Linked DNA regions of Pelodiscus sinensis. The protein of the gene in region 4 interacts with the protein of the main gene of each other region in a biochemical or structural test. Links are inferred from orthologs where the notes say so. Each region holds a gene or a part of one and is shown on either strand. Other genes may lie near its edges. The genes, in order: BMP2, BMP7, GDF2 and ACVR2A.

Evidence for each region.
Region 1: the proteins of ACVR2A (region 4) and BMP2 form a complex in vitro, tested with the Homo sapiens proteins (3 studies listed by BioGRID and IntAct, with this or other methods). The link is inferred for Pelodiscus sinensis from reciprocal best matches to the Homo sapiens genes ACVR2A and BMP2.
Region 2: the proteins of ACVR2A (region 4) and BMP7 are reported together in a solved structure, tested with the Homo sapiens proteins (2 studies listed by BioGRID, with this or other methods). The link is inferred for Pelodiscus sinensis from reciprocal best matches to the Homo sapiens genes ACVR2A and BMP7.
Region 3: the proteins of ACVR2A (region 4) and GDF2 form a complex in vitro, tested with the Homo sapiens proteins (2 studies listed by BioGRID). The link is inferred for Pelodiscus sinensis from reciprocal best matches to the Homo sapiens genes ACVR2A and GDF2.

Annotation. Positions count from the first base shown.
Region 1 is NC_134713.1:192,409,911-192,417,371, forward strand, and holds the start of BMP2 (bone morphogenetic protein 2), read right to left. Parts: upstream 3,286-7,461; 5' UTR 2,618-3,285; intron 1,885-2,617; 5' UTR 1,878-1,884; coding exon 1,547-1,877; intron 1-1,546. UniProt on the Homo sapiens protein: Growth factor of the TGF-beta superfamily that plays essential roles in many developmental processes, including cardiogenesis, neurogenesis, and osteogenesis. Induces cartilage and bone formation.
Region 2 is NC_134728.1:14,405,715-14,414,212, reverse strand, and holds the start of BMP7 (bone morphogenetic protein 7), read right to left. Parts: upstream 3,446-8,498; 5' UTR 3,033-3,445; coding exon 2,600-3,032; intron 2,238-2,599; exon of another isoform or gene 2,105-2,237; intron 1-2,104. UniProt on the Homo sapiens protein: Growth factor of the TGF-beta superfamily that plays important role in various biological processes, including embryogenesis, hematopoiesis, neurogenesis and skeletal morphogenesis.
Region 3 is NC_134718.1:5,221,509-5,229,355, forward strand, and holds the start of GDF2 (growth/differentiation factor 2), read right to left. Parts: upstream 3,387-7,847; 5' UTR 3,155-3,386; coding exon 2,824-3,154; intron 957-2,823; coding exon 10-956; 3' UTR 1-9. UniProt on the Homo sapiens protein: Potent circulating inhibitor of angiogenesis. Signals through the type I activin receptor ACVRL1 but not other Alks. Signaling through SMAD1 in endothelial cells requires TGF-beta coreceptor endoglin/ENG.
Region 4 is NC_134717.1:25,487,064-25,495,162, forward strand, and holds the start of ACVR2A (activin receptor type-2A), read left to right. Parts: upstream 1-4,857; 5' UTR 4,858-6,638; coding exon 6,639-6,693; intron 6,694-8,099. UniProt on the Homo sapiens protein: On ligand binding, forms a receptor complex consisting of two type II and two type I transmembrane serine/threonine kinases.

The DNA.
Region 1 (7,461 bases), on a different chromosome or scaffold from region 4:
CATTCATTATGAAGAATTCTCTCACACACAAGCACAAACCACAGTGACAGGTTAGATTTCACCATGAATCTTTCCTTATCATAAAGCTGCCCCATCAAACAGTGTAACCACTGATCCTAGGCCACTTGGTATACCAACTTAATTAAATCCTAATAAAATTTCTTTCATCACAGCTCCATGTTATAACATGTGGAGTCTGTGTTTTCATTAATTTTACAGTGAGACTACAACATACCACCACTGTAGACTAATAGATAGAAGTTATTACTTTTATTTGTGACAAGCAGATGAGCAACATGAAAACTACTCGCTCTACAAGTCTATTGTATCAGATTAGCTACCCCAGTTAGTAGCTGCAAATTTAAGTTAGTCCCTAGACATATAACTGCTAAACCAATTAACTGCAAAAATAAATTTAAAAAAAAATCATGTCCAGAAGGTCAAGATCATCATTTCTGTATGCATTTACCAAGCACGAAAAAGGCAGCAAAATGTGTCAGTTACCAAAACTAGTTACATTTTAACTGATATGTAGGGTTCCAGCTTTATAGTACTGATGTAGTTCATTAGATTCAAACTCACAGAACGTGGAAAGCTCACAACAAATGGATTTATGTGCACACTTAAAACTAGAATATGATGGGTACTAAAAGTTTGAACAACTCAATAGCTTTACTTTACGCCACAGACACGCCAGCTCTTGTGAGTACCCATTTTAATCTACTTTTAAAGTGCATTCAGCATCTTAATTAAGAGGTGACCATGTTATCTGAAGGCTCAGGTGCGCATGAAGTCCAATGACCAGCTGTGGCAATGCTTTTATCAACCTGGTTTTTGAAGGCTTACCTTTAGATCTACACTAAATCTGCCCTAGATTCAAATCCAAGACAAGAAAGTCATTGTGCAAACAATACTACTGATTGTTGCATTGATCTCTCCCAGGGATTAGAAACCTTCCCAAAACTAACCCAGACCAACTGTAAACTAAGGAGACTTTTCTGGTATTTAGCTTTTATCTTTGAAAGCCCTGGGTGGGAATGCTTAATTGGAACCCAAGCTGTAAAAATCAAGAGGGGCAAATGCCACATGGGATGAAGAAGGTGAGGAGGAGAGAGAAAGGGAGGAGATGCTCAGAATAAATGCCTGGGGACATTCGAGGGGGGGGGGGGGGGGAGGGAGCCTGTTTTGATGCCCAGCTTGTAAAACAAGACAGAGAAACTCACAAGAGAAATGAAACAGAAGTTTCCAAACTATTTGGAAAGATTTCCCCCTCCCCGCTTCTATCCTTCCTCCCCCTTTTGGGTCCAGTGCTGATGGTACACACCCGCACCCTGCTCGCCCCCACACTAGTTCATACACCCACTACTCCACAACAACGGAGCCCACGCTTAGGCTCCCTAGGAAGCGACGCCAGCTCTCACACACTCCCCCCGTGCCCACCTATCCTCCGACCCCTCCTGGGGAAGCGGACCCCGCCGGGAGAGCTCCCCAAGAGCCGCGGGCGCAGCCTGCAGGGGGCAGCGCAGAGCCAGCCCCCCGGCCGTACCTTCGTGGTGGAAGCTGCGGACCGTGTTGGCGCGGCTGGCGGCTCTCTCCAGCGGGGAGCCCAGGGCGGCCTGGCCCGCGTGCAGGCGGTAGAGGTCCAGCATGTAGGGCGGGATGACGGCGCTCTTGCTGGGGCTCGGCCGCCGCTTCAGCCCGAACATGTTGAGCAGGCGCAGCTCGAACTCGCTCAGCAGGTCCTCCGAGGGCGGCGGGGCGGCGCGGCCCGAGTCGCTGAAGCGCCGCCGGCCCACCTCCGGGATGAGGCCGGCCGAGCCGCCCAGCAGCACCTGGTAGAGCAGCAGCGCCAGCAAGGAGCGGGTGGCGGCCACCATGGTCAACCTGCGCAGACAGGGAGGGTGGGAAATCAGGGCAAGCCCGTCCCGGGGGCCCGATCCCGAGCGGGGGGGGGGCCCGATCCGGCTCCCCCCCCCCCCCCCGAGGGAGGCTAGGGGGCGTGGAACCTCATCTGGCAGCGAGCCGCTGTACCCCGTGCTCTGTTGCACCTGGAGCCGCTTCCCCCCGTAGTGACTCCGGATTGCACGCCTGATCCAAAGCCCCCTTGCACAGAAGAGCCTAGCCCGCAGCGGACCATAGCGTGGCCAGAGATACGGCCGCTTGTCAGCGGCCAGGAGCCGGGCTGGCCAGCTCCATGGCCAGGTAGGAGCCGAGTGCCATGCCCAGCTGTCCAGGTGTTGGCTGGCTTCAGGGGGTGTCTGGCAGAGGTGCTGGGGCAGTTTTTGCTGGGGGCGGTTGAACCCACCTGGACAGCCCGTCTAGAATGGCAGCCACTCCAAGCCAGGGTGCCGCAGTACCCCTCTGCACCCCTACTTCCAGCACCTAGGGTGGTTGGGGGGGTGCAAGACAAAGGAGGTGGGGGCTCCCAGGACGGCCAGCACCGCACCTCTAGAAAGAGGTTCCCCGCGCTCCCCGGGCGGATCCCGTGGCGCGTTCACACGCAGAACAGGTTCCATGCGCGCGGCGTTCGAAGCGGAGTGGAGGAAGCCGCCCGTGTGAACGGCGCGTGGGGAGGGGAGGCGCGGGACAGGTGCGCCCGGCCGCCCTGCGCTCTTACCTTTAGGAGCCCGCCGAGCGCCTAAGCAGCGCGCTGGGGGCCGGCCATGGACGCGGGCTCCACATAGAAGTGGGCAGAGCCAGGGGGTGCCCAGCCGGGCGGGGGCTTGTATCCGGTGCGTGCGGGGCTCGGGAAGTTACTTCTCCGGGCGAGGCTCAGTAGCGAGAGGGCAAGTCCCTCGGCTGCGCGGATCCCGGGCTGCGCTCTAGCCCCGCCGCCGCAGCCCATGGCTTCTCCGGGGACTCATGCCGCGCGGACCCGGCCGGCCGCGACCCGCCGGGGCTCGGTGCCTTGCAGGGGGGGCTCGCTGGGCGGCGCCTGGCTGCGGCATCCCTCCCGGGCTGTCACTCCGCCGCGGCTCCCCGGACGGCGGCGGCCGCCCGCCGCGGAGACATCCCTGGGGGGAGAGGCCTCGCCACGCCGCGCGGGGGCGCGCGCTCTATGCCGCTCCGTGGAAAAAACACGCCCCGAGCATCCGCAGCCAGGCTAGTCCCGCAGCGCCCGGGCTCTTCCTTCCCTGCGGCCCCGGCAGCAGCAGGCGCTTTGCAACGGGGGAGGAGGGGGGGGGGCTGCCTTCTCCGGCCGCTGCGTCCTCCCGCGGGGTGCCCGGCCCGCGCGCTTCTGGTGCCACTTGCTCGAGGTCCTTGGAAGCCTCCTTGGCTTTTTGTGGCGCTGCTGATGTCACGGCCCCGGGGGCTGGAGGCGCCTGGCCAATCAGCGAGCGCGCCGCCGGGAGAGCGGCCGCGAGCCGCGCTCGCTGCTTTTAAAGGCGACGCCGCCGCCGCGGAGGAGTGTGTGCGCGGCTCCTGCTTCCCCCCTCGCCTCGCTTGATGGCCGAACCTCTGGGAGGAAGCAGGGACAGCAGCGCCACTCGCATCTCCCTCCACGTGCCTTCCCTCCGAGGCAGAAGGTTGACTGTGTCCCAGGCAACTCCCATCACCTGCGACGATCCAGGAGCCGGGTAGTGAATTTGGCCAGGGGGGGTGTCCCCAGTTCCCACACTGGAAAAGAATGATCCATGGTTTCCCCCTCCACCTGCTTCTCCTCCCATCGACATGTCCCCCTGTCGCGGTCTCCTATCGCCTCTCCTGGGGCCGTGCCAGGCTGGACGGGAGCTAGTCAGGCCCATGGGCGACATGCAATGTGCAGCGTGGTTTTTGCAAATCAGGAGCCAACGAGGGGAAGCTCCAGGAGCAGTTGGAGCAGGCTGGCAGCCGGTAGCTGTTAGTGTTAGCTTCACGTGTAATAAGAAAATCTAGTCCCGAGGATTGTTGTGGTTCTTCCGAGGCGTAAGAGCTAGAGCCCTGTTGGGACTTTTGTCGTCTCGCCGTCCTTAGACAATACGAGACCTGGGATCAAACCAGGCATGGGCTAAAACTGTGGACTTAGGAACTTTTTAGCTGGAGTCTGCGCCTACACGTGGAAACGCAGAGGAAAGTCAGAGATGGATACTGAACAATGACCCCTCAGTAAAAGAAGAGTGAAATAAGTCTCGTGCGCTGCTTATACAAATCGGATTAGTTTCGTGCTGTGGGATTTCAGTGTTTGCTGACTTCTAAGGTGTGAAGGTCAAAGCAGGTTTTGGAAGAATTGGAGTGTTTTCAAATAATCTAGGCCAGTAGAAAAAAAAGTTTTAAAAATCCCCACACACCTGATTTTCAGCAGAGGCACACAAAGCATTTGCAATTAATGACATCAACATTACACCCAGGTCCTGGGTGTAAATAGTTTTAGGCCCATTGCAGCTGATATGGATCAAAGACTTATACAAAGCAACAGAATGGTTAATCTAAACCTGCAGTGTCTAAGTGTACTCTGTCTAACGTTAGGACGGTCAACGCAATATAATAGCCCTGGGCAAATCTAGAGCAAACCTCAACTATTGTTTGAATTTTGCACAGATCACAAAAAACTCATTTCTCTCTTTTAAAAACAAACAAACAAACAAAAACCTGTTTCGATTCCAGTGGGTGTGTTTAGTTCTTGGAGAGGAAAACTAAATGCTGTTATCACGCCACCAAGAAAAACTAGGTTGAGTACCCATCTGCACCCCAGAAATGAAGGAGCTTAATATCTCTTGCTTGTGGTATCTCTCAGCCACACAACCTTTCATATTCAAAAGATCTCAGAGGCATGACTTTACAATCAAGAATATATGGGTTCTTTTAAGCTCATATATGGTTCTATCAAGTTCATTGTGGCTCTTTTTTGCAGGGGGAGCATCCCCAGAAATCTGTTCTTTCTCCCAAAAGCACCTTGACTATTTTATTCCTTCAAAGGACACTGTGTGAAAGGCCACTTTTATGACACTGCGTCTTTAGGCATGAGCAGAGATTTGGGACGCAGGGTGACATAACCCCCTCTTTGTTAAACTCCAGCATCCAGTTTGATAAGCAGTGGCAGAAGGGATGTGAAGCTCCCTGCTATAACATTTGCCACTCACACCTTCCATGTCACAGCCCAAAAGTAGCATGGGGAGCTGGAAATCATCATGGGCTGCCCCAATTGAAAGAAACGTGTCAGATTCCTGAGAAAATGCCTTTTATCCTTGGGGAAGCATCATTTTAAATGCATTTGACTTTCTAGGTTCAGCCCCCTCCTCCTTGGGAGTTCAGCGCTGCTTTGCTGAGTCCCTGGATGTTTTTAAGATATGGCTGCCCTCCAGTGGTGGAAATGTGTCAGAGCTCTCTGGATGTGCAAATCCCCATTTGAAACCCCTTTTTGGGGCTGGCTTTACCATTGAATTCTCTTCTGTGTCCCACTCAGCAGAAGCAGGGCACCAGTCTGTAGGCTTAGCAGCTTACCTGCCCATCTTCGCGACCGGCACCAGTCCATGCTATCGCAGGTGTTGGAGTGTGACAGTGTCAAAGCCTTCGATGTGGCAGTTGGCAGCCTCAGCTCCTCCAGGTTGCCGAAGCTTTTCTTCGGAGATGAGTTTAGAGCATGAGAGGGATGAAGGAGCAGGCTCTGATGCCAAGGTGGATGGATTCAGGAAGGGTGATGTGTCTCGGATGAACAGAAAGAAGATGGTTAACTCACTGGCTTCAGTTTCCGTATCTGCCCCAAACTCCTCGTGTGACAGTGGGCTAGAATTTAGGCTCCTATCTTCTGGGCCTTAATCCCTCTGCATCACGGGTCCCTGTGGAATAGGGATATTAAAACTTTCTTTCCCTCATTCTTTGTCCTTCTTGCAGTCCCTTTTTTTATATATATACAGTGCCTTGCACCATAGGGCCCTGGTCAGAGTTGATGCCTGTAGACACTAATGCAATAGAAACGATGACACAAAGAATCAATTGTCCAGATCCTAGCACAGATTCTCACTTGAACGGCCTGGAATCCCTGGTCACTTTCCTTCCTCAGAGCACCACACTGGGGTGCAAGGCCTTTTCAAAGGGCTGATGGTACTGACAGAGTAAAGCAACATGTGGAGAATTTAAAGCAACAGGAGACAGTTCCCTGGTCATTTCCACCATTTTGATTGGCTCTTTTTGCAGTTTAGTAGAAAAGTTGCATCTCTATAATCTAAGGTGATCATTTCAATGACGTCGCACTGGTGCAATTCCCCACGGAGACACCCTTACCCTGGCAAAAGAATGACCTATTTTGTTTTAGTTTTGTTGCTTTGGAAAGGCTTTAAGCCAAATCTGAGATGTGGGTGTGGGGAGGAGCTGTGGTGCTGGACCTATTTTTAAGGTGGGGGTGCTAAGCTGCACCCCCCACACACACACACCTGTTCACACCTCTCACTTTTCCAGCCTGAGGTCACACCGAGGATTGCCAACTCTCACGGACAGCCTGGGTGCTATTACCACAAATGGTGTCCAGTGTATCCGGTCCAGGAGAGTTGGCAACCTAGCCACAGCTAAAGGTGGCTGCGGAGCCCTGGGTTGGGAGTGGGATGCTGAGCAGCAGCAGATTTTCTGGGGCCAGTGGCCTGGACCACAGAAATGGCAAGCTGCAGAACCCACGGGGATGCCAGGTGGGAGGGACCCTGGGGGTGGCAGAACCGGCAGTGGGTGGGAAGCAGGGCCGGCCCCTGGGCATGGAGAAGCCAGGTGCAAAACCCTGCACCTATGGAGAAGAGTGATAGCCCAAGCTGAAATTCAAGCCTTAGAAAGGGTGATAGCTTAGGAACTCCCAGATCAGGTTCAATTTTATGACTTCCTGGAGCTCGTTAGCCTGAATTTAAGGTGCAAGCAGTGTGACGTCAGGGCACTCCAGTTGTGTAAATCAGCACTAAACTAACAATGGCAATAGAGTTTACACATCACTGACATTAAATGAGCACTTTGGTGGCTAATTGCCCTTCCAGTTCATTCTGCAGTGGACCACACCAGGGAAAAGCCATTTCTTGCCTTAATATTTCATCTCTATGCCTGGAGCATGGGTTGTACTGGATGCTACCTATGGTGACTATAGTAGGATGAGGAACCGTCTGAGGGAGAAATGCGTCTACATTTCTTCCAAAGGCCTGGATAAATTCTGATCTGATTTAACATCAAGAGGTTTGCTGCCATTCTGATTGTAAATATAAATAGGCCCACGGATCCTTCTGATGTTAAGGCCATAAAAGCCTTGGATATTTTGGAGTAAATGAAGAGAGGTTTCCCCTTCCATCCTTTGCCTCTTTTATGTTCAGAATGGAAAGCCCAGATCCTGAAGAATAGTGATAGAAATGTAGCCGTGTTAGTCTGGTGTAGCTGAAACAAAATACAGGACTATGTAGCACTTTAAAGACTAACAAGATGGTTAGACATTTACCTCCTCCCCTCCCCTGCCCCATTCCTCTTCTGTTCTGAAATGTGATTTGTCCTTTTCATATGTGTTCATTTTTTTTAATT
Region 2 (8,498 bases), on a different chromosome or scaffold from region 4:
TTAACCCCCATAGCGCCGGCCAGCAGCACTCTTCCCCCCGTGACCGCTGGGCTCTGCACAGCCAGGCTCGGCCTGCCCCGGGCGGCCCCGGGCTGCGCGCCAGCGGCAGTAACCGGGCTGGGCTGGGCTGAGCCGGGCATGTGTGTCCTGCTGCCACCAGCTCCACGCACTCTCCCCTACGTGCCAGGTGGGGGCAGGGCTGCCCACACGCCGGGCAGAGGAGGGGCTGCACATGCTCCCTCTCCTATGCGCCGGCACGGAGGCGGGGCCGCACATGCGCCCTGTCCCACGCGCAAGCACAGGGGCAGGGCAGTGCATGCAACCTCCCCCACGAGCCGGTGCGGGGGCAGGGCTGCGCATGCGCCCTCCCCCAACCCGGGGCGCAATTAACCTGTTTGCTGGGGGTGCTAGAATGGCTCCGTCTGGCCCTGCTGTTTACATATATGCCATTGCTTTGATGTGTTCTGTGATACTCTTATAGGAGCTATCCAAAAAATGTTTTGTCCTTGTTTTTTAATATGTTGACTAATTTCACTAAAATCACACTTTGGAAAATATAATTTACTTTAGGGCCTGCATCTTAATAGGTTTTACATAAAACTCCCATGGATTTCAAAGAGACTTTTCCTTACACAATGAGTATAAGACTGGGGTCCTAGAGCAGTACTTATGAAAGCTTTGTTGGAATTAATTTTTGCTTTTTACAAAGGATATAATTATTCCCCTAGAGAAAAACATTTATCTATCTGGAGTTGATTCTGTTAGTTATTTATTCCTTTCATAAAATCATACTTTTAAAATATAAAAAGAAAAATGGGAATTTGTTTCATTATTTCACCATCTTTTGTTCTCTGTTAGATTTTATTGAGTGTCCCTGCACTTTCAGCCTTAGGCTTTACTTTATACTTAAAACTAAGGTACCAGCAAGCACAGTGTCAACATCTCTTATCTTTAAAGTCAAATATTTGACCACCAACTGTAATTTTGGACATTGAGATGTTTGATTTTTAACATGAATCGTTGATGATTGGCTTTCATATTTAAAAGTGATTAGACGAGCATTCTAATTCTAAATTGAACCCATTATCACTTTCAAAAAAGTGTAGCCCCTCATCAAATGAAACTCATAGAGCACTCATCTGAGGTTCATGGTATTTAATATGGATGTATGACTTATGGACACTAGAAGTCCAGCATACAATACTCCATCTCCAGGTTTCATCAAAATTGCAATGGAATGATAATGTATATAGTCATACCTATTCAATGGTATAACATAGAGCTTATACTGCTATTAGTGATTCTCCTTTAGGTACAGTGCCAGAAGGATTATAGTTCAATTTCTGTTGCCACAATGAAGTTCTAGGTGGCCATGGGGTGAAACATAGTGACAACCAGTAAGCCCTAAATGATTATTATTTTACAGTATTAAATGTAAGGGTGCGGTCTGCACCATTTTATGTGCATTGGGTCTATGCCTCTTGCTCCTTGTCCCAAAGTAACTTTGAGTTGATCTTGTTTTGAAACTACGGTTCCGATTTGGTCTTAAAATTGCAGGCACCCAATCTGTACATTCGGTGGTTTCAGTGCCACACGTGATGAGTGCTAAAACTGGATACAGTGAACTGGGACCTATAATTACATATTTAAAATAGAATGTTGGCCCTGTCAGCATTTTACTCAAATCCAGACAAGTTTAGTCCAAAAGGATATACAATCTACAGCAGACAAATAGAACTCAGATTGGACCATGGCATCCAATTAGGGGCCTAGTGAGCTGCATTCAAAGTGTGGCAACTTTCAGGTCCTTTGCATAAACCCATCCACATGTGCTTGTGAAAGAAAGCAACTAGCTGCCTAAAACTAGAAGAAAGACTATGTAGAGAAAGTAGAAAGCACTGCAGGAGTAAATAAGGATTTGCCACTGAAACCCACAAAAGCAATTAAGAAAACAGACTCTCAGCAGCTTGGCCCTTTCAATTCAGTTAATGCAGTCTTCCCCGCTGCACTGGAATCCATCCATTTTCAGCTACTCTAGCGGCATTAGATGACTCTAAGCTCAGTGCTTTGAACTACAAGGCAGCTCATGATCTTGTGCTGGTAGGTTTCATATCTTCCTTGGAGGTTCCTGAGGCAGGCCAGGCCCACTAATGATTCCTTCACCTCTGAGAACCTCATCTCTGGGACTGGGAAAATAAGGAGTTTATCGGCAGGAGGAGGAAGAATTTTCATGAGAGGTAAGCGCTGATTCAGCACAATAAACTTCTAAAAACCCTAATGATGTGAAATAGAGGCTGAGCTCTGCCCAGCTGAATTTCAAGATTACTGCCATTTACATATGATGTAACAAAAAAGTACTTTTTCTTGGGGCTACTTATTTTCCCTTCCCCACCATTGGAGCCACCTGCCACCAGGGCCACCTGTGGCCACCAGTAGAGACACATGGGCTATCACATTCTTGTCCTTCCTTTGTCCATCAGACGGATCTGCCCATCTCAACCCCCTCCCCAGGCACTAATCCCAACACTCAGGCATTTATCCCCTCCCCCACCAAAAAATCTCATCCCAGACTCCCCCGGGATGGGGGTTAGAGACTCACCCAGATTCACGAAGCTCATCACCATGTCTGCTTCCGTGAGGAAGTTGCTGTCCTGCAGGCTGGCCAGGGGTGGCCCCTGGGTGCTGAAGATGGGCTTGTAAGGGTAGGAGAATCCCTCTCCCTCCTCCCCGGCTGCTCCTGCCGTCTCCTCCTCCACCGACATGGCATTGTAGAGATCCAGCATGAACATGGGGGCAGAGTTCTGCTTGCCGTGCAGATGGGGCCGGGGCCGGTGGGGCAAGCCCAGGATGGAGAGGATCTCCCGCTGAATCTCCCGGCGCTCCTGGCTCCGCAGCCTCCGGTGGATGAAACTCGAGTGCACCTCATTGTCCAAGGTGAAATCGGCCAGGATGCAGCGCAGCCACAGGCAGGGAGCAGCAGCCCACAGGACCAGCAGCCAGGAGGCAGCCTGCCTGAACCACCCCACATGCATCTCTCTCTCCTCTCCTCCTTCACGCAGCTCCCTGTGGAGGGGAGAGAAAGAGCCCCCGTGGGCTGGAGAGCAGGGCTAAATACTTTACCATGAAAGACAGCTGGGGAGGGGAAATGCCTGCCCCACAAAGTTCTGCTCACTGGGTTAGAGGACTCCTCGGGAGATCCAGCGGCAGTGCACTCATGATAAAAGTCTGGCGGGGGGGAGAGGGGGGTCTAGTTTGTAAAATCCATAGGATAGGAGAGAGAAAATCTTGAGTGCTGCTTTTCACCCTCTTCCTTCAGAGTCTGAGCTCGCTCTTTTTCTTTCTCTTCACTCCTCACAAGCCAAGCCTAAGCACTGTTTGAAATGCTGCTTTGCAGACAGCACTGGCAGCAGGAGGTTGTATCTTGTGGGAGGAGCAGGCAGCAAAACTCAACACATTCTCTCTCTCTCTCTCTCTGCCTCTTCCCCCCCCCCCCCCCCCTTCTTTCTCCAAACTGCTTAGAAAAGAAAATCCATGTTCCTGCCTAGAGGAGGAACATCTGATCAGGTTGCTTTTCAGGATGTTATGGAAGCGGCTGGATTGGTAGAAAGAGTGAGCCATTTCCAAGTAGTTGCATTCTATCTGAAGAAGTGGGTCTGCCCCACGAAAACTCATCACTTAATGAATTATTTGGTCAGTCTTTAAAGTGCGACATGACAGCTTTTTTGTTTTATCATGTAAACATGGTTAAGGAAAAAGCACCCAAGAGAGAAGGGGAGGTTTAGGGGAGGGGGCAGTTCTTTGAGAGAAATATATATTCACATACTGTCCAGAGGGGAAAACCAATCAATGAATAGATTTACAATTTCATGATATAAATAGGATAGTCATTGAAACTAGGGTCACTTTTTCCAAGGGCAGCTGTGGAATAGAGGGGAGGGGGCAAATAAGAGGGGGTTAGTAAGGAAGTGTCAGGGAAGACTGGGGTGATAGAAGAAACTTTAAAATACTATCAATAACATTTACCTGGATCTGGCCCCCAAGGCTCAGGGATCCCTCCACATTGGGGAGCCCGTGCTAATGCTCCAGCCCCTCTGCAACCCATCCACAGGCCTGGAGCATACAAAACTTAGTCGCTTGGGTGCCCCCGGCTCTGGTGTTCAAGGGAAATGTGGGAGTGTCTTTTTCCTTCTCCATCAGGGGCTTCTCACTTTGCTTCTCACTTGTGTGTGGCCTCCAACTGATTTTTCTGTGGGTCAGCGGCCCCCAACTCAAGAAAGGTTCCCCGCCCCTTAGTACAATGGGGCCCATGGCTGGGCTTTTTGGAATCTATGATGATATAAAAAATAAGAAGAGTTACTCACCAACTTTAACTACAGCTTCCCAACAGTTCTTTGAAAAGAGAGGAGTGAAAATAATTCACATTAGGTGCTGACTTTCTAATTGAATCTTGGGAAGAAAGGGGGACTGAAGAAAGTGGGTCAGTCACACTAATCTTGACAGTCCCATGTCTTTGATGTTTCCTGATGAGTCTATTATATGCCAAAGTCTCAACACCTGATCTTGCATACCTTCTGCACCCACAAACATTCAGCACTTACATCACTCTGTGAATTTAAAACATTATATAACCAATAACTAGCTATTCATCTCGAAACCTATGGGAAGGAGGTAGACTGAATAAAAGGGGAAACTGAGGCATATAGTCAATTTCCTTATGGCTACCCATTGAGTAAGTGATACAGCCAGAAAACTCCTAACCATGCCCTGTTCTCATTCCTCTTACCCATAATGCTTCTCAAAACTCGTAACTCAGGGTGGAGGTTGGGTGCCCATTGGAGGCAACAAGAATGAGTTCTCAGAATCTTGTATACAAGCACTACTAGCCAGCTGTAAAGCCGGGGGAAGGAGTGGGTAGTTTACATAAAGCTTGTCTCTTGTTTCTGATCTTCAGAGTCCCTTCATTTTGGCTTAACTGTGATTTCAGTTGCCTGAAGTTCTATACACAACACTACTTTTTGTGTGTGTTACGCCTTTTATAGAAATCTTGGGCTTGATCCTGAGAAGTGCTGGTACCCGCATTACCTCTGAGAATCAGGCCCTTTCTGTGTGTGAAAATGCTTGTCAAGGGTATAACTAAGAGAAATTTGGCAGGTTTTTGTTTTGTTTTGTTTTACTTTGTTGCCTTTGTACATTTACAGCACCACGTCACTTCCACTGTTCCTCTTATATGGCCAGTTGGTTCCCATGTTATTTGTTTGTGGGTTTTTCACTCAGCACAGGAGAAAGGAAAACATCTTAAAAATGATAGTCAAACATCAGAATTGGCAAAGGGGATTCAAGAATGGGTGTGGTATCTGAAACTACTTGTAGCTCACTTAGTTTTCAAGTTGACAGTGTCCCTTTAATTTTGCCTGTTTGGGGAAGAAAAGTAGTTGTATAAGATTTGAATTCCAGTTTATCAGGAAACTGGTTGCTAAGACTTAGTTTATCATTTTTATGGGAGATGAAATTTTAGACTTGATGAGCTTTTCTGGTTGCCTAAGAGGTTATTTATATCTCTTTGTTCTCTATTTAAGTTTTCCTATAATTTTAAGTTGGTTTAAGTTGCCTATTTTGACTGTGAGCAAGTGCATCAGTTTAATATTGGCTATGTCCTTTCTTGAGAGGCAGGGAATATGCAGCACTTGTTTGGGAACAAACCAGATATTGTAAAGATTTCATTCATTAAATTATATAATTGTATTGCTTTCTTCTATGGTCTTATTCTTCATTTCCTGCCTAAATTGAAAAGGAAGATGCATGGTGTGACAGACATTGAGAATGAAGTAGAGAGATGACATTGTGAACAAGCAATTGGGTTTTTATGAAAGGGGGTTATGATAAGAATCAATGAGCCAAACTCTTTCTTTGAAGCAGCTGTGCAGGTAATTCCTCCACACTTTTTCCCTCCCTCATAAAATGTCTGGTTTGTGGTTGTAAGCTAGTAAGTGCAATAGGAAATAGATGCATGCCAGATTTATATGCATATGCCACTGCTTCTCTACCTATAACAAATGATACTAAGGGGATTCTTTATGAGTGTGGGTTAAGAAAGGGAAGCTATTAGAGAATTCTTCTCACATCACAAGTTTATCCCCCATTGATGTCAGTGGAGTTATGGGTTTTAAACAAGAGCAGAATCTCTCCCAGTATGTGCAGAAAAAAGGATAATTCTATAAGGACTGAAATGGGCTCAAGCTTTATTATTAGGATCCAGTTTTGGGTTTGAAATACTCACCAATCTATATAGGTTATATAGTCTGTACTATCATTGGTATAAAAACAAGTGGTCCTGTGGCACCTTAAAGACTAACAAAAATATATAGAACCATGAGCTTTCATGGGTAACACCTACTTCATCAGATAAGTTGCAGTGGGTTTTTACCCATGAAAGCTCATGATTCTATTTTTGTTAATCTCTCATGCCCCAAGACTTGTTTTTAAAGTTACAGACTTACATGGCTACCCCTCTGAGAATTTTATCATTAGGATAGATTTCATCCTCCTCCCTCTCCCTCTCCCCCTCCCATATGTATTGCATGCTATTTAAACTCATTTCATCTGTTCCCTGCAAGTTCAGCTCCTAAGCACTGCAGACATATTGCTAGAAATATAGGCAGCCCATGTCATCATCCTCTTTCTCCTCCTCCTTCCCAGATCAATTAAGAAACCAGTTTTTCCTCTTACTGTTCTCCTCTTCTCTAGACTCTCTTTCTCCTACTCCTTGTTAGTGAGGGAGAGCTAAATGCTTGTGATGAAGCAATGCCTGCATGTTGACAGTTGTTGTTTTAGATAATTTCTTTAGATAACAAAATTCCAACCAATTGCCTCTTTCTTGAGGTTTACATGTAGGCTAAAATACTAGATTAGCTACTTTTTGGTGTCTTAATGAATTGAACCCTTTTATCTGTTTTGTGTATTACCTACTGATCTTTTTGTTGGTGCAGGCAACTGCACATTCCTGATTAGTGGAAGAGACAACTTTAAAAATAAAAGGGCCTTTTTAATGAACCCTCCTTCCCCCCCCCCCAATATAGGCACACAAATACATGTGCAATTGCATGTATTATTGCCGAGATCATAAATATAAATTAAGCAGAGATCTGCCAATGGCTAATTCTGGTTATTTCCATGCAAATTTCTCCTCAGTAACTACAAACAGATTAGGAAAGTAGTTTCACGCCTAACTTGTTTTAAAATCAGGCCCAAAATATATTATTTTCCTTTCTCCTTTTTTTTCTACATCAAGTTCAACCTTTTCATTCTTACAGCTCAGTGCCCTCTTCCACTATTTCTATTTCTTACCCATTTTGAGTTTTGCACTTTTCGATTGCCATTTCTAATGCCTGGAACAAAATCCTCTTTCTGAACACTGCTGAGCATCTTTTACTTCTTCCTCCAAATGCTTCTACTAAAATAAATGTCTTTTAGGAATCTTGTCAATGCTGATTGTATCATCAGGGTCCTTTGGATTGTTTCCATTTCCTGCCGCCCCCATCCCCTGTACCTGTGACTCAAATTCTAACAATAAGAAAAACAGTATTATTTTATAAGATTACATATACAGCTTGCATATTGCATTACACCACATTGGATTATACTTATCAAAGTTTCTATTCATTCCTCTTAACACCATTATCACAAATGTATTCCTTAACATGAAAGTAATCACATTATGGATAAGCTACATGTTAGCACTGTTCCAAGAATTTGAACTAATCTGGGTCTGGACTGTGCTAATCACATTATATTAATTAAACCATAGCTCTGGTTGCCCTGGTTTACTGATCAGAGAAGACACAGTGATGGAAGCTGTGCACACAGATTTGAAGGGAACTGTTACTCCTGTGGGGAAGCCTTGACTAAATAGTTTTGGAACAGTAGGGACCTTTGAATTCTAAAATTTAAATGGTATCATGGGAATGAATCCTGAGAAATGCTGAGTGCTTGAATAAGACAACTAAATTTTAATTGTAAATGTATAAGAATATAAGAATGGCCATACTGAGTCAGATCAAAGGTCCATCTAGCCCAGTATCCTGTCTGTTGACAGTGGTCAATGTCAGATGCCCCAGAGGAAGTGAACAAACAGGTAATCATCACGTGATCCCTCTCCTGTCATCCATTTCCAGACAAACAGAGGCTAAGGATGCTGTTCCTACCCATCCCAGCTAATAATCATTAATGGACCTAACCTCCATGAATGTATCTAGCTCTTTTTTGTCCTAGTCTTCACAACGTCCTGTGGCAAGGAGTTCTGCAGATTGACATATAAAATTGGTCTAGATCACCACAGATTTCACTAGAGTCACTGTTGATTGACACCAGACACTAGATCAATGGTGGACAACCTGCAGCCTGTCAAGGTTCTGTATGTGGCTCACAAGACATTTTGTTTACTATTGCCCATGCTCAGAGTTGCCAGATTCCACTAGTTTCCATCTGCATAGTTTCATTCC
Region 3 (7,847 bases), on a different chromosome or scaffold from region 4:
TGCCCTCGACTACCTGCACCCGCACTCTGCTACTTTCATCCCCTCGTATTTATGTTTCAGAGTGGGCACCCCAGCGTCATCCATGTAGAGGATAGAAATGGGATCCAGTTTGGTGGGAACACAGCAGGCCTTGGCAGCTTTCTTGGGGTTTTTGAGGTGCACCAAGGTCTGGACGATGGCGTGTTTCGTGGGGGTTACGTTGTCCGTCAACGGGAAGAAGCATCCCCCTTTGCATTCAAATGCATCGTAATCTTTGGGCGCCATGATCCAGGAATCCCAGCCGATTTCCTTGAAGTTCACGCGGAGGGAGGTTCTCCGGCAGTGGTTGCTACCGGTGCTTCTCTTGCTTCTGGATGAAGGCGAGTGGAGCCCGGGGTCGGATATGGATTTCGCCTCTCCCTCCTCTTCCTCTTCAGGCAAAGTGCTGTTCTTGGCTAACTTCTTCAGCATGCTCTCCTGCTCATGAACTATCATTTCCCGGAGCTCCAATCTGGTCTCCTTGCTCCCGTTGCTGTGGTCGTTGGAGAACACTACCAGCAAGGGCAGTTGTGTCGTGTCGGGCGACACACTGATGTCCAGTTTCCCATAAACGGAGTCCCCCTGGGTTTTCCGCTCCACCACAACCTCAAGCTTGTTTTTGGTCTTGGGTTTGTCTGCCCTGACCCATCTTTTCACAGCACCGGACACCTCAAACATTTCCCATCCGCATTCCTGGATCTCTCGGGAGACAAGGAAGGCTTTGGCGCCTTCTGGGCTTTGCCAGAGATGTCTATCGGTAACATCATAAATGACTAACTTGCCTTCCAGCCTTGAGAGAGGCCCGACGTCCCTACTGCAGGCAATGTGGAGTCGCAGCTCAGCTCTGGTGATGACTTCGTGCCGGGGGATAGAGACGTTGAAGAGCAAGAGGTGTTTCTGAAATGGATTTTCTTCTGGGGAAGCCATAGAGACAACATCTGCAAGAGGAAATTAAGAGAGGCGGTCACCCTGCCTCCTAGGATAGAGGCTAATCCAATGAAGACGAACGCACTTCGCCGGTGGCATGCTATGTTTCAGAAGAAATGCCCACCCGTTACTAGTAGCTGCTGGGAGTGACGTTACACCATGGCCACCAGTATTAAATAAATGAACTGGCTTCACTCCAGAGTGAAACCCAGAGGGAGGTCCCTATGGGTAGCAAATCCACCAGGGATCAAGTTGTGATCCACAGTAACCTCACCTTCAGACTCCCTGTGTGTGTGTGTGTGTGTGTGTGTGTGTGTGTGTACATGAGTGTGATGTGTCCACACACAAGGTGCCAGCACAGCTCCAAAAGTGGGTGGTGTTGGCTCATGAGGGGCGTGTGCAAATGCAGTGGCTTCCCATAAAGGCTCTGCCATGTGGCCTCTGCAGAGGAATTACAGCTGTAAACCTCCCTGGGGGTTGGTAGTACAAATCCCACGACCATGATCGTGAGCTGGGGCAAATTCCCCTTCCCCTGGAGGGGGAGGCTCAGGCATAGGGATATGGAACCTACATCTCTAGTTTATAGCTATCGTAGCTGAGTTTCCCCACAAAACATCTTGCACTAGGGAGGAACCAAAGTGGACGATCAAACCCTTTGCAAGTCTGATGGAGAAGCTCCTGGCTCCGGCTGGCTTGGGAGCTTGGTATTCGGAAATGGAGCCTTTCCTCTCCCAATCCCTGCTTCTGTTCCCGGGCAGGGCTGGCTAGTCAGAGACGTAATTCCAGCCAAAGGCCATGGGAGCTGGAGGTGCGAGGCATGTCTGTAAGGGGTTTTGGTAAGTTACCCCCAGCTGATGGCTGTGAGATGGGTGGGTGGGTGTCATCTCACAAGCATCCACCCTGCCAAAAGCATCTTCCCCAATCTCCCTGGCCAATCAGAGCAGAGGAGGGGCCAGGGAGCCTGCACCCTAGCTCACACCGAGAAGGGGGTGTGCTTGTGCGGGAATGTGGAGACGGCTGCCACGCTGTCGTCTGTGCTGGGTCTAGATACATGGACATTTGAATTTGTCTTGGCTGGTTCTTTCGGCCAGCACCAAATTCACTTAAAACACCCCCGCCCCTTTTATTGATTCTAACGAGAGGGCTTTTAAAAGGATTGAGTCGTGTGCTGTCTTAGATGGCTGAAACTCTGCTGAAAAAGGTGCTGGGCCGCAAGGAATTTTTTACATTCGTAAGTGACGCAGGAAGCCCAGAGGTGCTAGGGCCAGCCTAGAGACTGCTACTGAGTGGAGAGGTTTAGGGCCTTTGCCTGGGCAAGGCCTGGCACAAATTAAGCCCTGGATGGTCGGGTATGTTCCTGAGGTGCTGAGCGGGGCTCTGAACCAAACCCCCCAGCCCCACTCACTCCCGATCTCTGAATGCAAAGGCTGGTGTTCCTAGCAGCAATCGGGAGTCCCATTTCCCGTTCGACTCCTGTCTTTACAAAGGGCTGGAGCAATGCCCAAGGGCCAAACATCCTCCAGAGTTGGGGGTGTTGGAAAACCTACCCCCAAATTTTGCAGCTCAGCCCCAAATCTCAGCCCCAAAACAAAGGCAAGGCAGCCAAGTTGTGGTGACTCTGTTTGGAGAGTTGGAATATTTCGTTTGCTTCTTGGAGAAGCAAGAGGGCACAATGTGGACTCAGAGAAAAGGATTTAGGACCTGGAAGAGTATAAGAGAAGAGCAGCGGAAAGGATAACAAAAGAGACTATGCCGGGGATTTTCCAAAGAAGCCCAAGGGAGTTAGGTGCCTGAGTCCCTTTGATTTGCAATGGGATTTGACACGGACTCTCTAGCTTCTTGTCCAACCCCGGTCTATAGGTGTAAGACATTTCATACCTTCTGCACTGAAGCTCCGCACGACGTTGGAGGCCGGGCTGGAAGACTTGTCCGTGGCATACTTGTTGTACAGATCGATCATGAACTGCGGGGGCTCCTCTCTAGACCTCTCTTGCAAAGGGACGCCGGATAAGTTCAAACTCCTCAGGAAATCGGCTTTCATGTTTTCCAGGAAGGCTTTCAAGTTGAAAGGGGTCTTGCCCTCCACCTCGCTGGGCTCACCGAAGGATTTCTCTGATAATTTACCCCAGGCTTCCAAGGGCTTGCCTCTTGCCACGCAAGCGATGATGTTGAAAACCAGCCAGGCCGCCGTCGCCCCCCACGAGCACATCTTTCACGGATGCGCCTCCGTCGGAAAGTGGGAAAAGGACCGGGTTCTTCCAGCTGACTAGATCGCGCCTCCCGTTCGAGGCAGAAGAACGGGAGACGGAAGGCGAGCCACTGGAGTGAGAGCCCTTTGCAAATCACTTTCTCGAGCTCGTTTGCAACCCCCCAGCCTCTTGTCAGTTGTCAGGCAGCTTGGTTGGACACTTGCCCTTATCTCAAGCCATGATGCCATGCTTCAGTTTCTGTTATCTTGCAAAGCTCTTCGTTAATGAAGATTCTGTAAACATCTGACAAACATGTGGCTGGACATTGTATGCTGCAAAGAATCCACATTTCTCTGCAGGGTCATCGTTGCTTAATTATGCTCTTTTATCGTTGGGGGCGGGGTTGGCCAACATTGACAGGGCTTCAGAGGAACTTTTTTAACGGGGCGGGGGGTGGGGTGGAGGAAAAGACTCTGGTTTTCCCTACTTCCCCCCTCCACCCCATGCCAAAAAAATAACAACAGGGAGTAAGAACAAACTACTCAATTCGCCAGGAGAAAATATCACCCCTCAAATCTATACCACGGTCCTTTACGCCTGTCCTCCGAAAATCAACCATCTGGTTGAACCCTGTGCTTTTAGCAAGCTGTGCTCTCATGACAATACGAACAGTCTTAAAATTGCTTTCCATTTATCGGCCAAGAGCTATTATTTGTACAGAGTGAGCTATCTGTCTTGTGTCAAGTTTGCCTCAACTTGTTAGCCGGCTTGTCCATTTTTAGTTTGCATCCTTTAGTGGAAGGGTAAAAAAAAAAATCTGGCTTTGTAGTATGTTATGTAATGTATTTTCTTAGAATCCTCTACATGAGGTCGCTGGTTTAACTAGCTCATTCCTCTGTCACTGCAAGAATGACTAATTGTTCTTGAAGATAAAGCCAGGTTTACTAAGCCGGAGTGAAACCTAAAGTCTCTATGAAGTCACTGAACATGAGCCAGGGAGATGTTTGATTTTTCATGGGAATATTGGCCAAGACAAAAATAAGAATTGTGGTAGAGTTTTGTGCATCTCCAGGAGGAAACTCTCCAGTTAAAACATTAAAAAGATGACTTGCAGCTGAATCTAATTGAGCCTAATCTGCTCTAATCCAAGTGTAGATGATAATGTTACCAATTCTGCCTGGCTGTGTCTACATTGGCACCCCTTTCCGGAAAAGGGATGCTAATGAGACACTTCGGAATTGCAAATCCGCGGGGGATTTAAATATCCCCCACGGCATTTGCATTTACATGGCTGCCACTTTTTTCCGGCTTGGGGTTATGCCGGAGAAAAGCGCCAGTCTAGACATGATTTTCCGGAAAATAAACCCTTTTCCAAGTAGGAATAAGAGATCTTCCGGAAAAGGGTTTATTTTCCGGAAAATCGCATCTAGACTGGCGCTTTTCTCCGTCATAATCCTGAGCCGGAAAAATCGGCAGCCATGTTCATGCAAATGCCGCAGGGGATATTTAAATCCCCCGCGGATTTGCAATTCCGAAGTGTCTCATTAGCATCCCTTTTCCGGAAAGGGGTGCCAATGTAGACACAGACGCTGTATTTTTAGAGAACCAATTGACACCTAGTATCTGGGTGCCATGTTGTCTGATTGATCTCAGTTCCTCAGCAAAATATCCCATTGCAAAGACCCAGGAAAGGTTTTGCCTCTAGACCTCATTGCTGGTTGCAATAGCTGGGATGACTTTATCCCCTCCTCTTTGTTTTTCAGCAATTGAACTAGAGGTGACTTATCCATTATCTTGTCCAGGACTGATTTCTTATTACCCCACCTATTGTTATCCAGCTCCTCTCTTGCCCATTTTAAATACCGGCACAATGTTAGCCCAGGTATTCTACCATGTAGGACACACCGGAAGTTTACCCGGCATTGCTGGGGTCCTTGACTCAATTTTTGGGTTTTGGAAAATACAATAAAAATATTCACGCTTCATTTGAATCATTGCTCTGGAGTCAGGCTGGGGAGGAGGGGCTCAGTTCACAGGGGAGAGGACTACCCCAGCACCCTCTCATGGCAGCCGCTTGGGGTCAAGTGAGAAGCGCCTCTGCAAGGCCACTGCAGCGCCAGTGGGCACAGCTGGGGGAGGCGTGCCTGTTCCCTGGCTGGCGCAGGTCCGGATTCATCTGCCCCCTGCCCTCTCCAGCCAGAGAGAGGAATGCAGCAAACACAGCACTCCCCTCACTCCCTGATGAAGGGGAACCGCCAGCAATGTTCCCCTACAAATGGGAGCAGGAGGGAGCTTCAGCCCCACCCCCCGCCTTCCCTAAAGGGTGCATGGGGGGTAGGAGCCTCGGAGCTGGAGCAGTCTAAGATGGGGGGGAAGGGTGCACGTGCAGCCAGCCTCTTTCACCTGCCTGGTAAGTCTGTCTCTTTTCTGCATGGTTTGATGAGACGCAATCCCATTCCACGCACTCCCCATTGTCCTGGCACAACCGAAACCTGACCTTGCTTTAAGCCACGACAAGAGGAAGCTGCTTCCCGAATGTGGTGGTCCTAGCTCTTCCCGCTGAGGAGTTCTTGGACAGACAGACAGACAGACAGACAAACTCTCTCAGATATATAGTAGATTAACATCAGTGAACCAGAGATCTCCTCAGCCAACTTCTTTTGTACACTCGGTGCAAGTTTTCAGGGCCTGCTGATAGACAATATCTACTGAGGGAAATATTTTTATAACAGTCTCCTCAGGAGCTAACAGGCTGGAAAGGATTTCCTCAGTTCATGGGGTCACCAGTGAGGGGATATATAGGATGCTCTCAGCCACCGATGGAGATAGGTTGAGCACATCCCCTTCAAAAGAAGACTGGAGTCAGGGTACGGCAGCAAGGCTGTCACTCCCCCAGCTAACGAGCAATCGCAGTCGTTTACGGCAAAGCCTAAAGGATTGAGCCAACTCGCACTGGTTCTGTAGGAGTCGGAGCTGAACCTAAGCGCTTCTTGCTCACAGCTCCACTGTGCTTTCTATTAGCAAAGTCTTGACTACTTTTGCCTAGGCCTCGGGTCTCTCGCCAGGCCTGTGATACATGGGCAAGTGTTTCAGGCCCACTTCCTACTCCAGAAGTAGGCAACACTTGATGGCTTCTGTCCACAGGAGTTTGCTCAGCCCTGGAACTGGCATCCCCTGCGGCCAAGTAGGGATGGAGCAAACTTCATGCGCCGCCACCCGCTTCTGACAGCAAAAACCACTTCATGGCTGCAGGAGAGGGGACCGGACCTTGAGCCCACCCAAGCCCGACTGCCCCAGGTGGGGTGGGGGCAAAGCCTGAGTCCCATCACTCAGGGCTGGGGAGAGCCAAAGCTAAAGCACCAAGGACGTAACAGGGGACCTGTAACCTGAGCCCCACCCAAGGCTGACGCGCTCAGATTTTGGCTTTGGCCTTGGGCAGGGGGACTCCAGCTTGAACCCCAGGCCCCAGCAAGTCTAAGCTGCCCCTGGCAACCCCATTCAAATTGGATCCATCTTGGGGTCCTGACCCCACAGTCTGAGACCCAATGGCCTGAAGTGATATTTTTTTCAGGTGCTCCAATTCCAGACTCTCTTTCACCATGTCATAGCTCAAAAGTCATCGGCTGAGGGTCAAGATTTTCAAGTGACACGTAATTTTTGGATGCCAAATTTGACCTGTCTTAGAGGGACGTGATTTTGAAACGGCGAATGCTCTACGCTGTCTGAAAAGCCCCACGGGTGTCTCCAATGGGGCAACCCAGCACAAAGGGCCTTAAAATCAGTACTCCGTTTGGAAAAATCTTAGGCTAGGCCTTTAAAACCTAAAAGCTTTGCCCATCTGGCTCTCCCGGCAAAACCTCCCAGTGGAAATGCAACTTGTAGCAGCAAGAGTTCCTTCGGCAGAATGATTTATGCCAGCTCTTTGAGCAAAGTATCCAACTGTGCCTAGACTAGGCCTTTGTCTGGCATCGCAATGTTGGGCCGGTGTTGTGATTTCTTGCGCTCGCAGATCTGAACACAAAAGTTAGCTCTGCAGGCGTAACTCTTAAATGGAGCCCAGGTCTTCTGCGTTTTAAGAGCACCCAGTGGCTATGTCTACACTGGCATGATTTTCCGGAACTGCTTAAAATGGAACAGTTTTCCGTTATAAGTATTTCCGGAAAAAGCGCGTCTACATTGGCAGGATGCTTTTCTGGAAAAGCACTTTTTCCGGAAAAGCGTCCGTGCCAATGTAGACGTGCTTTTCCGCAAAAAAGCCCCAATCGTCATTTTCGCGATCGGGGCTTTTTTGCAGAAAAGAAATCTGTGCTGTCTACACTGGCCCTTTTCCGGAACAGTTTTCTGGAAAAGGACTTTTGCCCGAACAGGAGCAGCATAGTTTTCCGGACAAGCACTGATGATTTTACAGTAGATCGTCAGTGCTTTTCCGGAAATTCAAGGGGCCAGTGTAGACAGCTGGCAAGTTATTCCGGAAAAGCAGCTGATTTTCTGGAATAAGTGGCCAGTGTAGACACAGCCGTTGTGTACAGGGGAGGAATTTTTACCTCAGACCACAGGCCTGGATGGAGGAGCTGTTTCTCACCGTGGTCGGCGTGGTTTGGGGAGCAAGTCCATGCCCCAAAAGCAGTGCCAGATGGAGACCATGGACTTCAATAGAATTGTTGCTGATTCATAACAGGGTAAGTGGGAGGAGAATCAGGACGTGTATTTTTA
Region 4 (8,099 bases):
GGATATTTAGCATTAGGCCAGTATGGGGAACCATTTTTGGGTCGGAGCTGCATAGCATGGGTTCCCCAATGCTGGGGTGGAGGGGTCTGAGCCTCGGGGGCCGGTCCTCGGGCCTGAGGTTCCCCACCCCTGTAAGGAGGAGAGTACTGATGATAGTCTCTTTGTCCTACTCATCTCTGATTGCCTATATCCACTTGTTGTCTCTTATTGTTTACATATAGTGCAAGCTATTAGGGTATGTCCAAACTACGTACTATTTTCGAAAGAGGATATGCAAATTCCTGTGATAATTTGCATATCTTTTTCTGATCTCACTTCCAAAAACGGAGCTTTTGAAAGCGAAAGTAGTCTGGATGTGTTTTTTTGGGAAAAACCCTTTTTCGGAAAAACTGTGTAAACCTCATTTTTAAAGGAAGAGAGTTTTTTTGGAAAAAGGTGGGTTTTTTTTCCTGAAAAAAAACCACGTCCAGATTACTTTCACTTTTGAAAGATCTGCTTTCAAAAGTGAGATCAGAAGAAAGATATGCAAATTCCCATGGCATTTGCATATTCTCTTTCGAAAATAGAACGTAGTCTATACGTAGCCTTAGAGGCAAGAGCTATCTTTTTTGTTCTGTGTTAGTACCCAGCACTATGGAGTCCTGATTCATGACTGGAGTATCTAGGCCCCATCACAATACACATACTAATAACAACAACTGGTCCAGTCCTGGGTCCTTTAAGCCAAAAGGAGGATGAGTTTTGGGGTACAGAAGAGGAACAGGAAGGCTCAATTGGAGAAGCAGCATAGAACGATTGTAAGGATGACCCTGGCATCTAGAACTTCCAGGGGCTTAGTGAAGACACAGACACTTTCTGCTAGAATCCCACATTTCTGCCACCTCTTGAGTTGCATCACTTGATAGTAAGATTTACAAAGACTTGCCAAACATGCTATGGGCTGATGTGTACACCTCCACATGGGGCAAAGCAACCATCAAAAAGCAGCATATGCCAGCTTTCGTTGGGTATATTTTAATTGCAGAAAAGGTGTGTTTTTAACTCAGATTAGATACTGCATATTAGCTATATTGGGTTAAAACAGCAGTGAAGACAACTTAATTTTTAACTTGGGTTAGTAGCTTGAGTTTGGTGCAAGTCTCTCTGTAGAATTTAACTGATGCTGCTAACCTAGATTAAAAGTAGGAGTGTAAAATCCAGTTTAATTGGCTAACTGGTTAAACATATTAAACTGATTAAAGGGGTGGGATGAATGGGGAGGCTCCTCCCACTGTTAGGCTGGATTACCACCCTCGGTCCCCTGCTGCTGGCAGGAGTGGCTGCTCCAGCCTGGCCAGAACAGTCCATGCCTTTAGCCCTTGTCCACATCCAGTTCCCTGCAGACTGAAACAGCCCTCTGCCTTTGGTAGGCAGGGAACTGCTCCAGCCCCACTGGTTAATCTTCACATCCCTAATTAAAAGCCAAGTTGCCATGGCTTGACTGGTATTTAAACAAAATTAACTACCCCAAGTTAAGAATACACTCATTTCTTTTTTTCAGTTAAGACATACCCCTAGTAAAGCTGGGGCAAGGGACCCTGCTAGTGGAATGGAAGACAATGATTGCTGAAGATTCTACAAACATTTGGTCTATTCCCTACTCTAAGAAGCAGGGCTATTCATGCTGATGAAGGATTTGGTGGCAACCACTGTGGATAATTTAAAGTTACAAACTCTCACAATTTTACTCCAAAATCTTGATAAAGTGGATACATGATATCTTTTCCTTGAAGCCTCAGTTCTTGGTCTCATGTGATTATTGGAATGTGAGAATTTATTTTAAAAAGATAAAGTTTCTAACTCTGAGGTTGCAGAAAAAAGCTTGAAAACATGAATGCCTAAAAGGCTCAAGAAGAAATCCATTACTTTTCATTCAATATCAGGATTTGATTCTGGGGCTCTACCAGATTTCTAGGGTTCTTGGTAAAGTGAGGCATGGTGGGGACAGCAGTTAGGTGACTGGAGACAGATTATTGTTCCTTACAACTGTCTAGGTTGAAAGGCATCTAAGGAAAAGGGCTGGAAACTGCTATGGTTTTCTTTGATGAGAGGTGAAACTAAAATACATTAAAAATAAAACAAAACAACTAAGGGGGGGGACTGCCCTCCTCCCCTTTCTGCTGCTCCTTCCTTCCCCACTCCCAAACTACAAGTGGTATGACAAAATCCCGAAGGCCAAATTAGGATTAGATTTGTACTGGTAAACTAAGTAACTGTGCCTCCTGCTTGCTATACTCCCCAATCCCCGCATCTGTCCTAGCGATGTGAAGGACTAGTCAACTATCCAATAAGCAAATACTTATTGGATAGTCAACTGGCTAGTCAACTAGTCGCTTCCACCCCCCACTCCCCTCCACTTGCTGCCTCTATCAAAAAGACTTCCCTGCCTGACCCCGGGATCCATGTAGCTCCCGAAGGCTGCTGATACACTTCAAAGGTGGAGGTGCCCTGTCAACTAAATGAATATGCATCAACTATTCGATCACTCAATTAGTCAATATTTAACATCCTTAATCTGTCCACTGTGCCACCAGCCTTCCGGTGGCCAGATGGGGGCTGGACTGCAGGGCTTGCCTCAGGAATGGGGGCAGGAACAGGATACTTTGACTAGAGGGGGGCTGGGCCCCGATTAGGCAGGGTGTCTGGACAGGAAGAGGGGTCAAGAGCAGGCTGGGGGCAGGGTTTCCGGCCAGGGGGCAGGGTGTCTGGCCAGAGGGGCAGAGGTAGAACTGGGCTGAGGGCAGGTGTCTGGTCAGCAGGGAAGAGACAGGAGGAGCGGACGGTGAAAGAGCAGGCTGGGGGCAGTGTGTCTGGGCAAGGAACAAGGGGGCAGGAGTGGGATGGGGGGGCAGCAGGGATGGGGTGTGTGAGGTGCTGGGGTGCAGAGTCTGGGCATGAGGCGCTGTGGCAGGGCACTTACTCCTTTTCATTCCATGCACTGGAGGCCTTCTCTACTGCTCCAGTTGTGAAGCCACCTATGTCTTCACTTCAACTTCAACTTCCAGGCCCGGGGTCCTGATGCTCTGCGACCCAGTGGGGAACCACTGCCACCTGCTTGGAACTCCAGCCTCATGACACTCCCCACAAGATTAGAGTACCAGTGCTGGCTTTCTGCAGAGGAGGAGAAGCCCTGAGGCTCCATGCTCAATCCAGCTTGAGCAGTGCATGCACTTCCCTGCAAGCCAGATCCAGCGCACAGCCTCAGGGCTTTCTCCTCCCCCTGTCCCACAGGAAGCCAGTGCTGTCACTCTAATTTTGTGGGGGCGAAGGGGCCATGAAGCTGGAGCATGAGGCAGGCGAGGCAGTTCCTTGCTGGGTCGCAGAGTGTTATGGCCCCAGACGCAGGAGCAGCAGCAGGGCCATAGGCGGTTGGATGGGAAATAGAGGGGATGGGGGATAGGGATGTTAAAGACTAGTTGACTATCTGATAAGTGTAGCATGGAGCCTGGGGTCCCGAGTTCTGGGGAAGTGCCATGCGGAATCTGGGATCAACTGGGGACTCCCCTGCTGACCCCAGGGCTCCTCTAGCATGCAGTGTAGCATGGAGCCCGGGGTCAGCAGAGGACTTACCCTGGGCTCCATGCATTTCAAAGGAGGCACACCGCATGCAGCCCGGACATTTCAGAGGACAAATGTGGAAGTGCCTATGGACTAGTCAATTAATTGCATTTTAACATCCTTAATAGGGGGACAACAGAGCTCGCTGAGTGCCCTACCACTGGTCGTCGGTGAGAGCCGGGGCAGAAGGCAGAGCGGGGAGCTGGAGCCACTTCCTGCTGGGTCCCCGGAGGGCTGCGAGGGTCAGCTGCTGCTCCCTTGCTCTCCTGCAGGTGAGCTGGGGGTCAGCAGGGAGCCCAGGGCTCCCTCTGAAGAGGGATGGGGGTGAACCCTGAGCCATGGCCACCGCTTCCCCTTCTCATTCTGCCAAGGCTGGGGGAGAGGCAGAGCGTCTCAGAGTGAGGTGATGACGCTACCGTCCTACAGAATTTTTTTTTTAATATAGAAAGATCAATAAACATCAATTTCACCATACATATGCAACTTACCCCCTCCTCAAGATATATCCATGGATAATAATTTCAAACAAATCAGAGTGCTGATTGAAAATTTATGAGAGTTTGATTTCAAGGCTATTTACTTTGAATATTTTTAGGCGACATGAACAAACTTGTATTTTAACAGCTACGAATGTTAACTTTTTGTATCTGAACATTTACTGTCATTAAAAACCGATTGCCTGGCACACCCCATAATTAGCAACTGTAAACATTTAGATAGATGTAAAAAGCTTAAAAATAGGCATTCGTATTGTCTGCCAAAACTATAAGAATAAAAATGCAAGGGTGGGGGAGCCCTAAGATCCCCGGGACAGAGCACGAAGGCTAGAGTCTGGGCAGAGACCTGGTCCCACAGAGAACCGTGATATGGAGGGTGCATCTCCTCTGGCTGCGCTTGAAATAGCAAGCGAGGAGCAAAGTGGAGATAAGAACTAAGAAGGGATGAGGCGCAAATGAAGGTGGGGCACGGCAGGGGAGCAGGCGGGTGCGGCACCCACCAGGCCTCCCCGTGCAGTGAAGGGGCACGAAGAAGGGAGTCGTGAGGGGACGCGGTGAAGAACAGGCGCAGACTCAGCCAGCAATCAAGAGCGCGCGCGCAAGTAGGAGGCGCGGGAGAGCTCCTCGCGCACAAGCGCCCCGCCCCAGTCGGGAAGGTGACGCCTTATGCTCAGCCCTGAGTGGTTCCGAGGGCTGTCAATTGGGAACGACTCGCTCACGCGTCCAGTCGCGCGACAAGCAGCCGTGATTGGGGGAAGAGGGGGAGGGGAGCGAGGAGAGGAAACAAAAACAATCGCCCGGGCACCGCCATCTTGGGTTCGTTCTGCACGCCACACGGTGAATGGGTAGATATGAAATTACCACAGGCGAGCCGCAACAGCAGCAGCACGGTTCGGAGGGCCGTTCGGAGCTGCCAGCCGGGCGCCGGGGACTATAAAACCGGCTCCTTCATCCGCCGCCTAGAGAAAAGCCCCGGGCTTGGCCTTTCCTTATCGCCGACCCCTAAACTCAGCTCCTGGGGGGGCAAAGTTGGTGTCCGTCGCGCCGGCTGGGAGACGAGAGGGTTGGAGCCAGCAGCAGGTTCCTCAGAGCCAGGAGTTAACTGGGGACAGAGCTAGGGGAGGGGGAAAAGAGGGTTTCCCCTCCCCCTTTCCAGCACCTTGCCCAGGGCTTGCCTGGTACGTGGTGTGGGAGGCACAAGGAGAAGGCAGCAAGAGTTCACCAGGCTTTCAACCCCCACCCCGCCACCCAAGCCATTGAGGAGTTTTTCTTCCTAAGAAAGCAAAAGTTGGACTGAGTGAAAAATTGTCCAGGTTTCTCCCTTCTAACCACGTAGGAGGCAGAGAGGAAAAATGTATCCGTGAGGAGTTGGGAGAGGGGTATGAATCGAACAGAAGAGCCACCAGCCCAGCACGCAGGAGGAAGAAAGCTGTCACCATCCCAGCAAACACGAAGATCCAGGGCACATCCAGTCATGTGTCTATAATATTGATATCCTTTCCACCGCCACAGAAGCAGCGTTCTCCTAGAAGCACAGCAATCAAGGAAGAAGAGATTTGCCACGCGCTCATAGATCACCTTCCTCCCCAGCGGCTGGAGACTACATTTTTCCTGTGACTTCACTGTTTGAACACCAAATATAGTTTCTTAGAGGGGATTCTTAAAGGAGTTTGAAATTCACTGTTGAGGCAAGAATGTCTGAAATGCACAGCCTTTGTTGAACGGACAAGGAGAGGATCGCAGAAGTAGGAGGGAAGTGGTAGGAGAGAAGAGAAAACGTTCGGCTTTCATTAACTTGAAAGGGGAAGCCCAGAGATTTATTTTTGTGGAAGTGTAAAGGCTTTTTTGTTTGAGGTTGTTGTTTCTCCTCCCATCCTTTTCCCTGTGGTCACAATACAGCTCGCAGCATGATTGAAGTAAACGTCAATGTTGCCCACATGTGGCTGGTAACTTTTTAGACAGTTTTTATAAAGAAACTGACAAGTATACTATTCCCTTCTTTATCAGTGGCTTACTGCTTTTTGACGTTTGAAGCTGAGATGGTACTTTTTACTCAAACACTACATGTTGTATAATAGGAGTGAGACTGAAAATATACTCTTTACTCATTTCAGTAAAACTTGCTTGGTTCCAGCGCGACGAGGGATACTTTACAGAGCTTAAAGTAGAAAAAAGCTGAACTTTCTCTGAGACTTGGTTCTCCTTCTAAACGGCGATTTATGCTGTTGACTTTTTATGGATTCTTAACTTTTTTCCCCCTGAATTACATTTTTCCACCACTTGTACAGAAGCCAAATGACACATGTGTTTTGAAATGCTTCTCCAAATATACACCCTTGTATCCGGGATCTCGCTAGAAAGAGCTGGAGCGGTTGTCAGTATCTAAATAAAGCTGATTTTATTGTTTTGTGAACACTCTAGACTCCAGAAATGTTCTAGTTTGCTTTATAACGGTTAAATTTGAAGGTTGATTTTTTCTGTTTGGAAAAACCAGGAAACACGAGAGTAGGAACACTACCTGTATGTTCTAACTGTATTTCGAAAATGGGAGCTGCTACCAAGTTGGCGTTCGCTGTCTTTTTGATCTCTTGTTCTTCAGGTAAGTAAACTTAATTTGGTCAGTTTAAAGGTATCATTGTGATACCAAAGCTTGTGGAATTAGTACGATTTGCAAACGTCTTTTTTGAGTACTGTATATTTGACTTGGAATATATAGTTTCTGGTTGATAGTGACTAATAGTTTGAAGTGATAAGGTTGTTGTAGATGACAGCTGGGGTGGTATCCGTTCAGCACTTCTATTGTATGCGTTCTGTAAACGTAAAATTAGTCCACTGCAGAATTGATTAATGGAGTACCTTTAAAGCTAATTACTTATACTATTTATTAATATTATAATTGAAGTTTCCTTATGTTTAAAATGCTCAGGAAAGTGCAGCATGACCAACTCCTCTAACTTCATTTAGATGTTATTTTGAGATACTCATTATTGAGCTTTAGCATGTTTAAAAATAATTCTGAAAGCACTGTATGGAGGGGGAGTTGTGTGTATGCACAGAATCAAGAGAATAAGGTAAATTTAAAATCCTTATCTGGATACTTTGCAAAACCTAACATCTTTTAGCTACCTAATACACTGTTTATCACTTTTTGATTTTACAAAAGTACATGTTTAAATGGCTATCTTTAGTCCTATGAAACAGTGTGGTCCAAAAATTGTTCAGTGTAAGCATTTTTCATGATAGCAACTAGTGTTCGAAAAAATTAATAGACTTGCATTTATTTGGAACGATCCTTCGGAGAGCTACTGATCCTGGGTATTGTAACTGATTTTAACTTTTTTTTTTTTTCCTTAAGCTTTACAACTTGTATACTGTGTGGTTGTGTGGCTTTTTTTTTTTAAACACATTCCTTTTTGACTGCTTATGCACTGTTGTGTGCAAAAATAAAAGTATTTAGCGTTCTTATAATTGTGAGTTGATAGCTGGTTTTATCTGACCCTATTTCTATCTTGTTCTAACTGCCTGGCTAGTTTTCTGTAAAAGCTTCTTTTATTAAAAAATAAATAAATAAATAGAAAATGGTGATATAGAATTTTGCTGAATGATCCATTTCCTTGTGGTTATTAAATGGATGCAGTCTAGTCTTGTGTCTGTAGTGTTATTGATCAGTTCTGTGTGGGCTGAATGTGCTGTGAAATGGCGATCACTGCCACAGATTAACCAAAAGAATTAATCTGTTGAAATGGAACATGTTAAAGACAGCTTGATTCTTTTTAATATCAGAAAAAATACCAGTTTTTAACAATCATGATGGTTTATGTTTAAGTAAAGCCCTTCCTGAAACACTGATTATGAAAGTATTCGCTTTTAATTTAAATAAGGCTATCTTTTTGGAGTTTTCTAGTTTGTTTTTCTCTTTCCCCTTTCCATTCCCACTTTACTACTTTGCCAGATTAAGGGATAGGATAGAACAGTGGAGTCCTTTCCTAGGAACCTACCTGTCCT